Linked DNA regions of Struthio camelus. The protein of the gene in region 2 interacts with the protein of the main gene of each other region in a biochemical or structural test. Links are inferred from orthologs where the notes say so. Each region holds a gene or a part of one and is shown on either strand. Other genes may lie near its edges.

Region 1 (7,253 bases), on a different chromosome or scaffold from region 2:
TCCTCGCCATCTGGGTTCTCGAACTCCTGGGTCCCCCCGCCCCAACCATAGAGCCGGTGAGTGCCGGGGGAGGGGGGCTCGCACTGCCAGCATCCCAGCATCCCCCACCCCCGAGCTCTTAGGTGACCTAGAACCCCCCTCAAACTGTCCCAATTCCCCCTTGGGTGACCTGGAACGCCCATAGGACCCCTTCCAAGCCCCTTTTAGGTGCCTACAAGCACCCGCAGGGTCCCCTTTAGCTGTTGGGTAACCTAGAACGCTCCTTGAACCACCCCAAGCCCACATTGAGTGACTGAGAACACCCACAGGCCCCCCTCTCTAGCCCCTGTTGGGTGCTCTTGAGCACCCATGGGGTCCCCTCGAGCTGTGGGGTGACATAAAGCCCCATAGATCCCCACCCTGAGCAGCCACTGGATGACCTAGAGGGCCTACAGGATCACCTTGAGCTGTTGGGTGATCTAGAACCCCCTTGAACCACCCCAAGAGCCCACTGGGTGACCCAGAGCATCCATAGGCCCCCTCCCAAGCCCCTGCTGGGTGCCCTTGAGCACCCATAGAGTCCCTCCAAACTGATGAATGACCTAGAACCCTCTCCCCCTTGAACGATCCCAAGCCCCCCTTGAGGAACCCAGAAAGCCCATAAGACCCTCCCCAACCACTGTTGGGTCCCCCCAAACTGTTGGGTGACCTAGAACCCCCTCCTTGAACCATCCTGAGCCCTCGTTGAGCGACCTAGAGCACCCACAAGCCCCCCCCCCGAGCCCCCGTTGGGTGCCCGCCGCCACCTTGAAGCCGACGTCGCCCCGCTTGCAGCAGAGGCAGGTGAGGAGGAGGAGGACGAAGGCCAGGAGGCCGGAGCAGGAAATGAGCACCACGGCGTAGGGGGGGGCCAGGGGCACCCGGCCTGGCGGCAGGCTCCCTGCGGGCACCGAGGCTCATTGGGGGGGGGCAATGCTGGGGGGGACGGTGGGGCTAGAGGGGGCTGCGGGGCTGATTTGGGGAGGTCTGGGGGGGTCCATAGGGCTGGGAGGTGCATGGGGCTCATTGGGGGGGTCTGGGGGGGGTCCATGGGGCTAGGAGGTGCATGGGGCTCATTGGGGGGGTCTGGGGGGGATCCATGGGGCTGGGAGGTGCATGGGGCTCATTGGGGGGGTCTGGGGGGGTCCATGGGGCTGGGAGGTGCATGGGGCTCATTGGGGGGGTCTTGGGGGGTCCATAGGGCTTGGGGGATCCATGGGGCTGATTTGGGGGAGCAGGGGGGTCCATGGGGCTGATTTGGGGGGGTTCATGGGGCTGGGGGGGTCCATGGGGCTGATTTGGGGGAGATTGGGGGGGTTCATGGGGCTGGGGGGGTCCATGGGGCTGATTTGGGGGAGATTGGGGGGGTTCATGGGGCTGGGGGGGTCCATGGGGCTGATTTGGGGGGGATTGGGGGGTTCATGGGGCTGGGGGGGTCCATGGGGCTGATTTGGGGGGGATTGGGGGGGTTCATGGGGCTGGGGGGTCCATGGGGCTGATTTTGGGGGGGTCTGAGGGGTTCCATGGGGCTGAGGGGTCCCGGGCGGCTGATTCAGGGCCCCCTCCTGGGGGCTGTTCCCCCTCCCCAAGGACCCTGCAGGGGGGGGCTCAGCCCCCTCCCCCCCAATCCTACCCCCCCAGTGGGGTGAGGGGGGCCCCGAACGCCTGGGTCCTTCCCCAGCTGCCCCCCCCCGCCCCCGGCAAGGCCACAGGGATGGAGGGATGGGGACAACGGCGGGATGGGGACAACGGCGGGATGGAGGGAGCAGGGGATGGAGGGATGATGACAACAGCAGGATGGTGACAACGGAGGGAAGGGGACAACGGAGGGATGGAGGGAAGGGGACAACGGAGGGATGGTGACAACGGAGGGAAGGGGACAACGGAGGGATGGTGACAACGGCGGGATGGTGACAACGGCGGGATGGAGGGATGGGGAGAGCGGAGGGACGCAGGGACGGAAGGAAGGGGACAACGGAGGGATGGAGGGATGGTGACAACGGCGGGATGGTGACAACGGCGGGATGGTGACAACGGAGGGATGGAGGGACGGAGGGAAGGGGACAACGGAGGGATGCAGGGCCCGGGGGCCGGAGGGATGGGGACAACGGAGGGGTGGTGGGGCGGGGGGGGACGGGAGGGGGGCGGTGACAACGGAGGGCCGGCGGGGCCGGAGGGATGGGGCGGCCGGAGGGACGGGTTGGACAGAGGGATGCGGGGATGGAGGGGTGGATGACGGGACGGAGGGACGGACGGACGGAGGGAGGGACGGATGGATGGAGGGGGGGGGGACGGCCGAGGGGCCGGGGACACTCACCGCGGGGGGCGGGCGCCCCCAGGGCGCCGTGGGGCCCGAGCGAGGCCATGGCGGCGGCGGCGGCGGCGGCGGCCAGCAGCGGGGGGGGCCCCGGGCGGCGCATCCCGGCGCCCCGCTCGGCATCAGCGCCCCTAGCGCGGGGGGGGGCCGGGGGGGGCAGGCGGGGGGCCGGGGGGGGCCGCGGCCGCCGCCCGCATCCCGGCAGGCAGGAGAGGGGCCGGGGGGGGGGCAAGAAAAGGGGTTGGGGGGGCAAGAAAGGGGGATGAGGGAGCAAGAAAGGGGGATGGGGGCTATAAGGGGGGGTGGGGGCAATAAAGGGGGGTGGGGGGCAATAAAGGGGGCTGGGGCAACAGGGAGAGGATAAAGGAGATGGGGGCAATAAGGGGGGCAATAACAGGGCGGGGGGGTAAATAGCAGGGCGGGGGGGTAAATAGCAGGGTGGGGGGGCTGTAGCGATGCGGGGGGGCAATAGCGGAGGCGCCCAGGAGCCGCCGGCGCGGCCGGGCGGGAGGATGCTGCTGCTGCCCCCCCCCCCTCCCCGGCCCCGCCCCGCCCCGCCCCCGCCGGGCGCCGCCTCCCATTGGCCGCGGCGGCCGTCCGTCACGGCGGGGTGAGGGATGCAGGGTCGCCATGGCGACGGGGCTGGGTACCGCGGGGCGGGGGGGGGGGAAGGAGGGATGCGCGGGGGGGGGGACACGCGTGGACAGGCGGGCAGGGGGCGCGACCGGGGACACGGGGGAGGCGTGGACAGGGGACGCGCAGGGACACGCGGGAGAGAACACGCAAGGACACGCGTGAACGGGCAGAGAACACGCGCGGACACGCAGGGATGCGCATGGACACGTAGACGGGGACCTGCAGACAGGACACGGAGCAACACGCAGGGACACGTGGACAGGGGACACGCGGACAGGGGACACGTGCAGGGACACGCGTGGACACGCACGGACAGGGGACTCACACAGCAACACGCAGGACGCGCATGGACATGCAGACGGGACACATGCAGGGACACGCAGGGACACGTGTGGACACGCATGGACGGGGGACACGTGCAGGGACACGCAGGACACGCGTGGACATGCTGACGGGACACACACGGCGACATTCATGAACATGCAGGACACGCAGGGAGAGAACGTGCAGGGACACGTGTGGACACGCAGACGGGACACGTGCAGCGACACGCAGGGACACATGGGGACACAGACAAGGGACCCGCGTGGACACGCAGACAGGGCCACACGCAGTGACATACACGGATACACAGGGACGCACAGGCAGAGAACACGCAGGGACACGTGGACATGGGTGGAGATGCAGGGACACGCGTGGACACGCAGGGATGCGCGCGGACGTGGGGACAGAGGACCCACAGACAGGACACAGGAACACGCAGGGACACGCAGACAGGGACACACGCAGCGACGCACACGGATGCACAGCGACACGCCAACAGAGAACACGCAGGGACACGCGTGAACACGTAGGGACGTGCAGACAGGGGACACGTGTGGACATACAGACAGGGGACACGCAGGGGTGCGTAGGGACACACAGGGGACACACAGTGACATACATGGAGGAACACGCAGACGGGGACATGCAAGGACACGCATGGAACCACAGAGACACGCGTGGACACGCAGGCGGGGGACACACCGGGACAGGCGGACGGGACCCGGGGCGAGGGGAACACGCGTGGGCCGGCGGACAGGGACACGCCGATGACACGCAGCACGGCACGTGTAGCGTGCCCGAGCGGCACGCGGGGACCTGGGGACACGCGTGGGACGGGGTGGCCCCGCTTCGCACCGGGCGCTGCGCAGCGCCGAGTACCCCCACTCCCGCGCCCCTCCCTCCCGGAACAATGGCGCCGCCCTCCCTGGAGCCGCTCTACCCACTCTATGCTCAAACACCGCCCGGACATTGGCCAGTGCCACCGCTCTCTCTCATTGGCCGGCGCGCCTCGCCTGCTGCGCGGCCATTGGCTGCCGCCGCCGAGGGGGGGCGGGGCTCTGCCGGCCGCCCTATATAAAGCGCCGCTGTGGGGCGGCCTCCTCCTTTTGCGGCGGCGCCGGGGCAGCGAGGTGAGGCCCGGGCGGGCCCGGCGGGGCGGGCGGGCGGCCGCAGCCCCGGAGAGGTGCCGGGGGCCGGACCGGGTTAGGCCGGACCGTTGGGGTTTTGGGGGGGGGGGCGGCGGGGACCGGGCAGGGCCGTGGGGCTACCGGGGGGGGGGAGTGTGTGTGTGTGTGTTGCTCCCGCGTCCGCTCTGCGCATGCGCGGTTGGGAGTCCGCCGTGTGGCGAGGCCGCAGCTGCGCAGGCGCGGGGGGGGGGAACTGACACGGGCGCTCCGCGCATGCGCAGAAAGACTCCACGTGGTGCCCCCCCCTCCCGCCAAGGGGGGGGGGGTGGAGCGCAGTTTGGGGGCGACCCGGCACCCCCCCCGGGATGGGGGGGGGCTGAGACCCCGTTATTGCCCTGGGCTCGCTTTTGGGCCCCCCCGGTGGGCTGAGCCCTTGGCATTGCTGTAATGGAGATGTTTGAGGGGGTGAGAGCCCCCCCGGGGCTCTGTTTGGGGGGTGCCCGCCCCCCCCGGGGATGCCGGTGCCCCCCCCGGGGCTCTATTTGGGGGGTGCCCGCCCCCCCCCCGGGGATGCCGGTGCCCCCCCCCGGGGCTCTATTTGGGGGGTGCCCGCCCCCCCCGGGGATGCCGGTGCCCCCCCCCGGGGCTCTATTTGGGGGGTGCCCGCCCCCCCCCCGGGGATGCCGGTGCCCCCCCCCGGGGCTCTATTTGGGGGGTGCCCGCCCCCCCCCGGGGATGCCGGTGCCCCCCCCCGGGGCTCTGTTTGGGGGGTGCCCGCCCCCCCCCCGGGGATGCCGGTGTCCCCCCCCGGGGCTCTGTTTTGGGGTGCGTGGTTAATGTAGAGGAGATCCTGAACACAAGGCGGGGCCCCAACCCATTTTGGGGGGGGGTATCCATCCCTCCCCCCCCCTCCTCCTCCAGGCCCCCTCGGCCACCATGCCGGTCGCCCGGAGCTGGGTCTGCCGAAAAACCTACGTCACCCCCCGGCGCCCCTTCGAGAAGTCCCGGCTCGACCAGGAGCTGAAGCTCATCGGTGAGTGCGGGAGCGGAGGTGGGGTCCTCCGCCTCTGGGTTTTGGGGGGGGGTACGAGACCCCTCAACACCCCCCTAACCCACCGCACGGGTTTGGGGGGGGGTGGAGAGGGGGGTCCGAAGCCTCGCTGACCGCCCCCCACGCCGGCGGTGCTACTCCGCCAGGCGAATACGGGCTGAGGAACAAGCGGGAGGTCTGGAGGGTGAAGTTCACCCTGGCCAAGATCCGCAAGGCGGCCCGGGAGCTGCTGACGCTGGACGAGAAGGACCCGCGGCGCCTCTTCGAGGGTGAGCGGCCGCCCCCGGGGGGGGCCTTTTCGGGGGGATGGGGAGGGGATCCGACAGCCCCTTCCCCCCCCCACATCCGCCTCCGCAGGCAACGCGCTGCTGCGGCGCCTGGTGCGCATCGGCGTGCTGGACGAGGGCAAGATGAAGCTCGACTACATCCTGGGGCTGAAGATCGAGGACTTCCTGGAGCGGCGCCTGCAGACGCAGGTCTTCAAGCTGGGCTTGGCCAAGTCCATCCACCACGCCCGGGTGCTCATCCGCCAGCGGCACATCCGGTGGGTGCCGCCCGGACGCCGGGGCCCCTCGCCCGGGTAGAGCTGGGAGGTCGGCAAGGCTCACTGCGGCGCCGCCGTACACCTTGCGAAGGGGGGGGGCCGAGCCGCAGGTAACCTCCCGGCTTCGCCTCGCTTTCGGGGGGGGCCGTTTTGGGGTGTTTCCTTGCGATTTTGGTCCCTGGTTCCCTCGCAGGATCCTCGGGGGCTGCTTCCCCCTGGTTTTGGGGCCGTTTTGGGGTGTTTCATTGCGATTTCAGCCCCGGTTCCCTCGCAGGATCCTCGGGGGCTGCTTCCCCCTGGTTTTGGGGCCGTTTTGGGGTGTTTCATTGCGATTTTGGTCCCTGGTTCCCTCGCAGGATCCTCGGGGGCTGCTTCCCCCTGGTTTTGGGGCCGTTTTGGGGTGTTTCATTGCGATTTCAGCCCCGGTTCCCTCGCAGGATCCTCGGGGGCTGCTTCCCCCTGGTTTTGGGGCCGTTTTGGGGTGTTTCATCACAATTTCGGCCCTGGTTCCCTCGCAGGATCCTCGGGGGCTGCTTCCCCCTGGTTTTGGGGCCGTTTTGGGGTGTTTCATCACAATTTCGGCCCTGGTTCCCTCGCAGGATCCTCGGGGGCTGCTTCCCCCTGGTTTTGGGGCCGTTTTGGGGTGTTTCATCACAATTTCGGCCCTGGTTCCCTCGCAGGATCCTCGGGGGCTGCTTCCCCCTGGTTTTGGGGCCGTTTTGGGGTGTTTCATCACAATTTCGGCCCCGGTTCCCTCGCAGGATCTTTGGGGGCTGCTTCATCCCGTTTTTGGGGCTCTTTTGGGTTTCTTAGTGGCTTTTTCAGCCTTGGGGGGCTTCTTCCCCCTGTTTGTGGGGCTGTTGAGGGCTCTTTGAGGGCAGTTCAAGCCCTGAGGGCTCCCTGGGGCCGACCTCATCCTGTTTTCGGGGCTGTTTAGGGTTGTTTGGGGGCTGTTTGAGCCCTGAGGGTGGTCTCATCCTATTTTTGGGGCGGTTTGGGGTCGCTGTGCCCCCCGGGGGCGGCCCGGCTCCCCGTTGGGGGCGGTTTGGGGTTGCTGCGCCCCCCGGGGGCGGCCCGGCTCCCTGTTTGGGGTCACTCTGCCCCCCGGGGGCGGCCCGACTCCCCGTTGGGGGCGGTTTGGGGTCGCTGCGCCCCCCGGGGGCGGCCCGGCGCCCCGCGGCGGGGTGGGTTTGAGCCCCCCGGGCGCCCCGCAGGGTCCGCAAGCAGGTGGTGAAC
Region 2 (7,846 bases):
AGGCCTTGGGAGAAGTAGCCATGACTGAAATGTAAAGACTACAAGTCTTTGTCCCCCTGCGATTCCAAGACATGAACCGGCCCTCAAGGATAGGTGCAGGAAAAGACGGACCGCACAGCCCAATTCAAAGTTTGGTGATCAGATACCTCACCTGGATTCCCGTCCTTACTCTAGCAGATTCACAGTAAGATTTGACTCTCCATCTCCCACAGTCTAGGAAACCGTCAGTTACTAAGTATTTTGGAACCTCCACTAACACTGATCTACTCTGTATAAAAATATTTACTGGAAGAAGAAATTCATACTTCAGTTTCCCACATCCCAGCTAAAAGGCCAAATCACTGGGCTATATAGTCCTGTAAGACTTTCTCCTTTAGCTTGGAAAGCCAGGGAAGGCCAGCTAACCAACAGCAGAAACCTAGATGCAAGCTTGACTCGCTCTCCAGCACACAGCGAGAAACTGATTGGAGAATTTAAATCCCAATTCTGCTATCATACACCACATACCTTCCCAAAGAGCTCATTTAGGTTTCAATTTTTTTTCATTTGGGTTACAATTTTTTCCTCTTTCTTCATCTAACATTGCATGGTTGGAAAGCTCAGCTCCAAGCTCAGTCCTCTGTCTACTCAAGTAAGAAGGCTATTTTCCAAGAATGAGGTAGCAACGATTCCCTCAAAACCTCGTGAAGAGAACAGCTCCATGAAGCCTGCACAAAATGATAGAATATTAAAATCTCACTCTTGCAGCAAGGTTGGCCTTCCAGTATAGCCATTATATCAGGCATGCAGTGTCTTCATTCACTAATTATCTGTTCAAAATGTGCAACTATGAATTAAAACAGCACCTAATGTGAGCATAAGCTTCTTCCAGAGGTGTTTCCACAATCATTAAAATACATTTTTTCCCCATAAATTTCATTACAGAATTGCAGTCAGCTACTGCTTTTAGGAAAATCAGCCTAAGTCCAGTTTTCAGTGACCTACTTCTAAGGCAATATTTTAAGAATAAAATTAATGAGACAAAAGTTGTCTAAAAAAACCCAATAAACTCCATTTGGCATATCATTAAAAGCCTTGAATAAGAAAATCCAGGATCAACTAAAATTCAGCAGTTTTTTTGCCAAGAAGCACATAATAAATACAAGCAGATAAGTAGTTAAAAAGATGTGAAGATCTGTCTGTGTCAAAAATCCCTCCTGACCAACTGCATATTTGGGCAAAGACATCTGAAACAGTTCTACAACTGAAAAGCCAAAAACCCATCATTTTGTCACCATTTAACACTTCTCTTAAGCCAGAAGTTCCCAGCAAGCACATTACTCGGAAAAATCAAAAAGTCTAACTCAGACTTCTGTCTTTAAGTCAATAATAAGCTAAGCGCTGCGCTGGCCTATGTCACTGTTACAACTGTCCAAATTGTAGGCCAAAGAAGTGACCGACTGAGAACATATGAAATGCAGGCCTAAAATTCTATTTTATCAATACCACAACCAGAGCACAAGAACTACACAGAGCTCCTACTTTTAGTTAAGCTCAGCAGTCACCTGCTAACGTCAAAAGCTTTCAAGCTGCTTTAAAGCCACCAAAATTTTAGGCCAAATCTCAGAGTAACAGCAGGAGCTCTACACCAGTTACAGCAGTTTGCTTCCATCCTGCCCAAGAATTTGGCTGTATATGTAGCATTTGCTGTGACATAAATATATTTGCCCTGAAAAACAGCAAAGCCTACTCTGACCCTGTTGCAGAGCAGAAAGCAGTCTCAGTCCGTAGAAGATCCTAAGTCCAGATCTGAATACTACTGTCATTTTTCATCTTTCCTAACACAGTTTTAGCTTTTATGCGAGACGGTATCAGGCTCTTCTCTCACTTAATAACCTTTCAAACACAATAACGATGAACTTCTCCACGAAGAAAAGGTACACCCACAGTACTAGCCCTACATACTATTACCTCTGCAAGGCATTCAAAGCTAAACATCTGTCTGCGGTAGCTAGAGCACATCTGTTCAGGAGGCCACCAAAACTGCTCAGTTCTTTACGGTTTGACTCATTAGTTCTAATTGCATACTAATTACATACTCCAGAACTGCTCCTCGCTACCCTCTTCAACAAGCCCTGATGTATTCTCATTGGTAATACATGCAGTATCTCAGATTAGGCCAAAGTAGGGCTTACAGAGCACTTTAGCTATCTAGAGAAGCATTTTTTTCATTTAGAAGAACACCGAGGAGCGCTGCTGCCCGTAACTGAGCAGCTGGCCATACCTGACTGCAGCAGAGCACTAGCTATACCTCCCCGCTTAACGCAAGAAAATCAGCGCAGAGGACACAGGCCACGCGAACCTAAGCAGCCCCAGGAAAGCGGCAGGCCACGCCGCAATCGTGTTTGCGATTCAAGGCGAGTTCCTAAATCGAAAAGCGCTCTGCACGCGAGTCACGGCAGGACAGGCGTCATTTGCCGAGCTGAAAACCAGCGCAGCCAGAGATAAGAGGCGGCAGCCCCGCGTTACTTCGGACACGGCCGGGGACCCGCTGGGCCCGGGGGAGGCACAAACCACCCAAATCAGGAGCGGTGCCAGCACCGGGCACGCAAGCGCGCCGCAACTGCGAGCGAGCCCTCCCGGTAATCTTCGCCATCACCATTAGCCACGGGCAGCTCCCGTTGATCCGCACGGCCCCTCGCCTCCCCGACAAAAGGAGGCCGGAGGGCGGCGGGGCGGGGGGCCCCCCCGGCTCTGCTCCGCTCTCTCTCCCTCCCGGCGGAGCGGCACCGGGAAGCGCATTAGGTAACCGCCGCGCAGGGTCTGATGCAATAGCTGTACGTGCACCACCGGTTTTCGGGTTTCATCTCCCGCCGGGCGCGGGGCCGCGGCCCGGGGAGGCCGAGCAGGGATACAGGTCAGGTCCAAGTCGAAGCCATCCTCCTGGTAGCGCCTTTTGTTCCTGCTGACGATCTCTTTGATGATGGCGGTCATGTCTAGGAGCCGGGGGCCGCTCCGGGACAGCGCGCAGAGGCCGGCAGGAGGCGGCGGCGGCGGCGGGGCGCGGGGCCGGCGGCTGCCGGGCGGCCCCGGGCGCGGGGCCTGCTGCTCCGGCGGCTCAGCCCGAGGCCCCGCGGCGGGCGGCGGGGGCGCAGGCGGGCCCGCCTCCCCCCGCGGCGGCGGCGGCTCCCGGCGGCGGCGGCTGCCCCCTCCTCCTCCTCCTCGTCCTGCCGCCGCTGCGCCGAGCGGGGCGAGAGCGGCGGCGGCGGCCGAGCAGGGAGGGCTGAGAGCCGGGCCGAGTCCCTGAGGGTGCTGCCGCCGCCGCCGCCGCCGTCTTTGAGGCGAGCGCGGCGGAGGCGGAGAGAGCAGCTCTCCGGCGCTCCGGGCCCCAGCAATGGTGACAGCGGCGCGGGGCGCCCCCCCGGCCCGGCCCCGCTCCGCCCCGCTCCCCGCCCGGGGCGGCGGCGGCGGACCCGGGGCCGCGCGGTGGGGCCGCGCAGCCGGGCGGGAGGGCGGGCGAGCGCTCCCCGGCAGGCGGCGGCGGGGCGGGCGGGCGGCGGTGGCGGCGGGCGGCGCGACTCAGGGCGTGCGGGGCTCCGGCCCGGCCTGGCTCATCTCCCCCGGCCTCGTCCGCGCCCAGCAGCGCCGCGCCAGCGCTAGACTCCCATCATGGCTGCAACTTCCGAGAGGGGAGAAAGCGCTGGCCCCGCCCCCTCCGCCGCCGCCTCCGCCGGCGCGAGAAAGTAGTCCCGCCACATCACCGCCGCCGCCCGCCCCGCCCCCCCCCTCCCCGCTCCGCCGCCGCGCCCCGCCGCCGCCGCCGCCCGCCCGCCCGCTCCCCGCCCCCCCACCCCACCACCACCACCGCAGCCCTGCGGGGGCGAGGCCGCGGCCCGGCGGAGGGATACGGGCGGCTCACATCGCCGAGCGGCGGGGGAGGGGGGGCGCGCTGGGAAGGGGGGGAGGTCACGTGGGCGCCGAGCGGCGGGGCTGCGGGAGGTCACGTGGGCGCGGCGCCGCGCTCGCGGCGGCCCCCCCCCCCCCCGCTCCGCGGGCGGAAGTGGCCGGGCCGCGGAGGTGAGCGAGCGGCGCGGCGCCGCCTCCGGCCCGGGCGGGGGGCGGGGGGGGCAGCGCCGCGGCCTGGCTCCCCTAGCCGGGACAAACGGGCTTTGGGCCGCTGCCGTGGCGGCGGGGACGAGCCTCGAGGCCCCGCTGCCCCTCGAGGAGCGGGGGCGGCGGTGCGGGGAGGGGGGGGGCGTGACCGCCGGCGGGGAAAGGAGGTGGGAGACGGCGGCCGCGGGTGACTGGGGCGCGCGGGGGCGGCCGCCGTGGGGTGGGGGGGGCCGCCGTGGGGTGGGGGGGGTACGCGGACAGCCGAAAAGACTCGTTTTCTCCTCTGGCTGTGGCCGGTGCTCGTGTAATTTATTGCCACGTTAAAGACGCTGGGAGCTTGCTCGGGAGCTGCCGTCCTCCACCCGCGGCAGTAGTGTGTGGGCACCTGCTGCCCCCTGCAGCCACCGAGGTCCCAGGGGAGAGGTTTTTGGCCGAGCGGTCTTGGCCACCTGGGGTAGGTACTTCACGCAGGGCTCTGGCATCTGAGCGAGCAGGTGGGAACAGAAAGTGCCCTTCTGGGCCACAGCAGTGTTACTTCTCCAATAGCGGGAACGCCCTTTTGGAAGAGGGTGCAAGCTGGGGTGCTTTCTGTGCTCTGCGTGTGCGGTTGTTGAATTCGGTCTGCCAGAGGGGACGTCTCTGCTTATTTCCCTTAGCATCCGTTGGTGGCCGTGTTCTGTGCGAGTTTGTCTTATCCCTTTTTGATGCTGTTGATCCTGTCTGCCTCCCCCAGCTCCAGTGGCAGCAAGGTCCAGAAGCTCGCTCCCTGCTGCATAAAGAAGTACTTTTTTATCCGTTTTAAACTGATCTCCTATTAGTTTCATTGCAAGGCCTTTTGTTCTAGTACTGCAGAATATGGTGAGTGAGCCGAGTAATACGTGCAGCTTATCCACCACCTTGATGATCAGGTAAACCTCACTTGTAAAGGCCCCCCAGCCCCACGCCCTGGCTGATCAAAATTGATTATCCTGACAGGTGACAAGTGCTGTCTCTAAATCTCCAAACCAGCCTTCACTGGAATGGGACCATTCCTTTTACAGCAACTTTTACAGATAAACACCATCACATCATAAGTGTCTTCACGCTCCGGTCTGAAAACTGCTTTATTAAGGTAGCGAGCATTGCTCATGTTAATGATTTGCAGAACAGTGACTATCAAGCTGCCCATCCCAAGCTGGACTTCTGAGTATGAAAGCTGGCTGGAGTCTCAGTTAACTATCAGTTTTTCCATCGGAGTTGATATGACTATGGCTTTTTCTTTTGTGCAGACAAGTGAAATGTTAGCCTGTTGGGGTAATACAAAACAACATACTTTAAGGCAACTTAGAATGCATGACTTTACATGAAGCGTCAGGAACGGAAACTGCTGGAGATGGGCATTTGCCACAAATATTGAGGGAACAGAGGAGACCCTGACAGATAATACCTTAGAAGAAACAGGGTTACTTGGTAGAAGTAAATTTGCTTCTCTCAAAAACATTGTCTTCACAACGTTCTTTTGGTGAACGGTAGGTAACTTGAGGGATATTCCATGCACATCAAAGACAATATACCTTTGAAGAAAGCCTGTTTAAAAGGAAGGAGAAAACAGCTGTTAGCTTTATAAAGGAGTGATGGACATCTCCAGAAATCCACAAGGAATAAAAAGAAAAGGGAAGAGAAAACGCTTCCGCTGTAACTAGAAAAGAGACATTTTGGAAAGAACTGGCCTCATGGGAAGAAGAGAACCTGTGCATTCCTTCCTCTTCTCTCTTTGAAAAACGGATGATATAAACCAGACAGAAATCTCCCTAAAGAACAGATCCTGGTTCTTAGTTCATAGACATCAGTTAAATGTTTCTGAGGCTGGCCGCAAAAGATACCTTGCCTGAGAAAGGCAAGGTATCACAGTGAAGACAGCACTCCCAGGAACACCAGCAGGAAACTTTTACATGGTTCACTTAGTAATTGCATTACCTAACGAAGGGTTATCAAATACATTTGAGCAGGAAACTTACGAGTAAAATCATAACGCCTCTCTTGCATAGTGGTTAGATACTGTGGAAAATTTATTGGTAAGCAACATAGTCAACTAGGAAAGATGGGATAAAACATTCTCTCTCTCTGTATAAAAAGATAATAAATAGAAATTTTTATACATATGTAAGACAATACTTTCTGAAACTGTTTCCGTTCTGAGGAACAGCAAACAGGAATTCATGTTTCAGATACTCCAAAGGATATGATAAATCTGTTGTCTTGTTCAGTCTTTAAATGACTTTTAAGAGAGGTGCTGAAGTCTAGCTGCAGATGGTTGGAACAGGTAGAGGAATTGAAGCATGAAGTTTTATGTTGTGCTTTTAACAGAGTCAAAATAAATTGGAATGTAGGGTGGAAGGATCTCCTGGGTCGCTGCAGCCTCCAGCCTTTGCAAATGCTATATAATATAATTCCTTTCACAAATGTATCAAGTTTCCTCTTAAGATCTTTTGTTACCATAATTCCCACTGAGAAGCTGTTCCCAGAATGTTCTTCTGATTTTCATGCTAAATATATTTGTGACTGGTTTATATCCATTTGTTCCGGTGCCAGCGTTGGCCTTAAATAGCTCTTACTCCATCATATTTACCCTTTGTGCGTTTACAGATAGAAATGTTGTCCCTCTTAGCCTTCGTCTGACTAGGCTCAGCTAGCTCAGCTCTCCTAACTGTCCGTTCTCCCTCATCTCAGTAGTGGCTTTCTGCTCCAGTTTCAGTTTTACTCATTTCTCTTCAATATACATGACCAGAATGGCATGCAGTGTTCTAGATGGTATCTTGCCAGATCCAAGGACAATGGTATTAATCCCTTCCAAACTCTGCTAGAAACATTGCTCCTAAGACATCTTAGGGCCCTATTTTCCTATTCACACTGGCAGCTCATATTTATTTTGGGATCAACTAGTGTGTACGGTCAGATCATACTGTTCTTTTGCAACCTACAAACGTATGAAGGGAACCCATGAAAAGATTTCACGGCAGCGCCTACTTTTAGACCCCGGACTCAGAGGTTACCCATAGGCAAATATACTTGTGCTTAGCAAATGAAGACCATCTTTTAAAACATTTCCAAAGGTCCTGCAAGTGTAAAGTGTGTCCCTCTAACATCCAGCCACGCTTCCTTGTCTCTAGGAAGTTGATATGGCTTAGCTGAAACTCTTTTGGCTAGCTTCCTGAGTCCAAGTCAGAACAAGACCAAAAAGCAATCTGAGCAGAAAATAGCCTATCAATGGCCATTGTGTCAGCAAGTCGTGAGATAGGTCTTCATCAAGCTATGTGGTAACCATCTTTATCATGACAACCGCTGCTGAAATCCCATTATCCAAGCTGCATGACTATGCCAGGAATTAGTAGGAAGGGGAGAGAAAATAATTATGTCAGTGTTTAAATTCATGCTATGCGTCCATCCTAAACTCTCTCTCGCTCTCTTGGTCAGGTTCCGTTTTAAAAAGTATAGAACAGATCTGAAGAAGATTCGATGAAGGGAAGCATGGATGACCAAAGCTACAGAACGGCTGTTCGGTGAGGAACCGTGAAGTTTGGAACTTTTCATCCTGGCAGAGTTAGCTAGAGATCTAGAAAATCCCAAGTTACTGAAGAGGTTGGACAAAGACTGATTTCTTTGACGTTTCTTCCATACATATAAAATGTAGGGACACCAGATGAAATTCGCTGGCAACAGTTTCAAAACAGCCAAGAGAGGTAGTAGTTAGTGACGTGACCTGAAGTTAAACTGT

The links. The genes of interacting proteins can lie anywhere in the genome.
Region 1: the proteins of PTEN (region 2) and RPS9 form a complex in vitro, tested with the Homo sapiens proteins (2 studies listed by BioGRID). The link is inferred for Struthio camelus from reciprocal best matches to the Homo sapiens genes PTEN and RPS9.

What each region holds. Positions count from the first base shown.
Region 1 is NW_027182668.1:39,830-47,082, reverse strand, and holds the start of RPS9 (small ribosomal subunit protein uS4), read left to right. Parts: upstream 1-4,227; 5' UTR 4,228-4,242; coding exon 4,243-4,425; intron 4,426-5,343; coding exon 5,344-5,455; intron 5,456-5,619; coding exon 5,620-5,742; intron 5,743-5,830; coding exon 5,831-6,017; exon of another isoform or gene 6,018-6,127; intron 6,128-7,231; coding exon 7,232-7,253. Other genes in the region: serine/threonine-protein kinase LMTK3, read right to left, coding at 1-26, 786-919, 2,336-2,384. UniProt on the Homo sapiens protein: Component of the small ribosomal subunit. The ribosome is a large ribonucleoprotein complex responsible for the synthesis of proteins in the cell. Part of the small subunit (SSU) processome, first precursor of the small eukaryotic ribosomal subunit.
Region 2 is NC_090948.1:43,321,103-43,328,948, reverse strand, and holds the start of PTEN (phosphatidylinositol 3,4,5-trisphosphate 3-phosphatase and dual-specificity protein phosphatase PTEN), read right to left. Parts: upstream 3,054-7,846; 5' UTR 2,974-3,053; coding exon 2,895-2,973; intron 1-2,894. UniProt on the Homo sapiens protein: Dual-specificity protein phosphatase, dephosphorylating tyrosine-, serine- and threonine-phosphorylated proteins.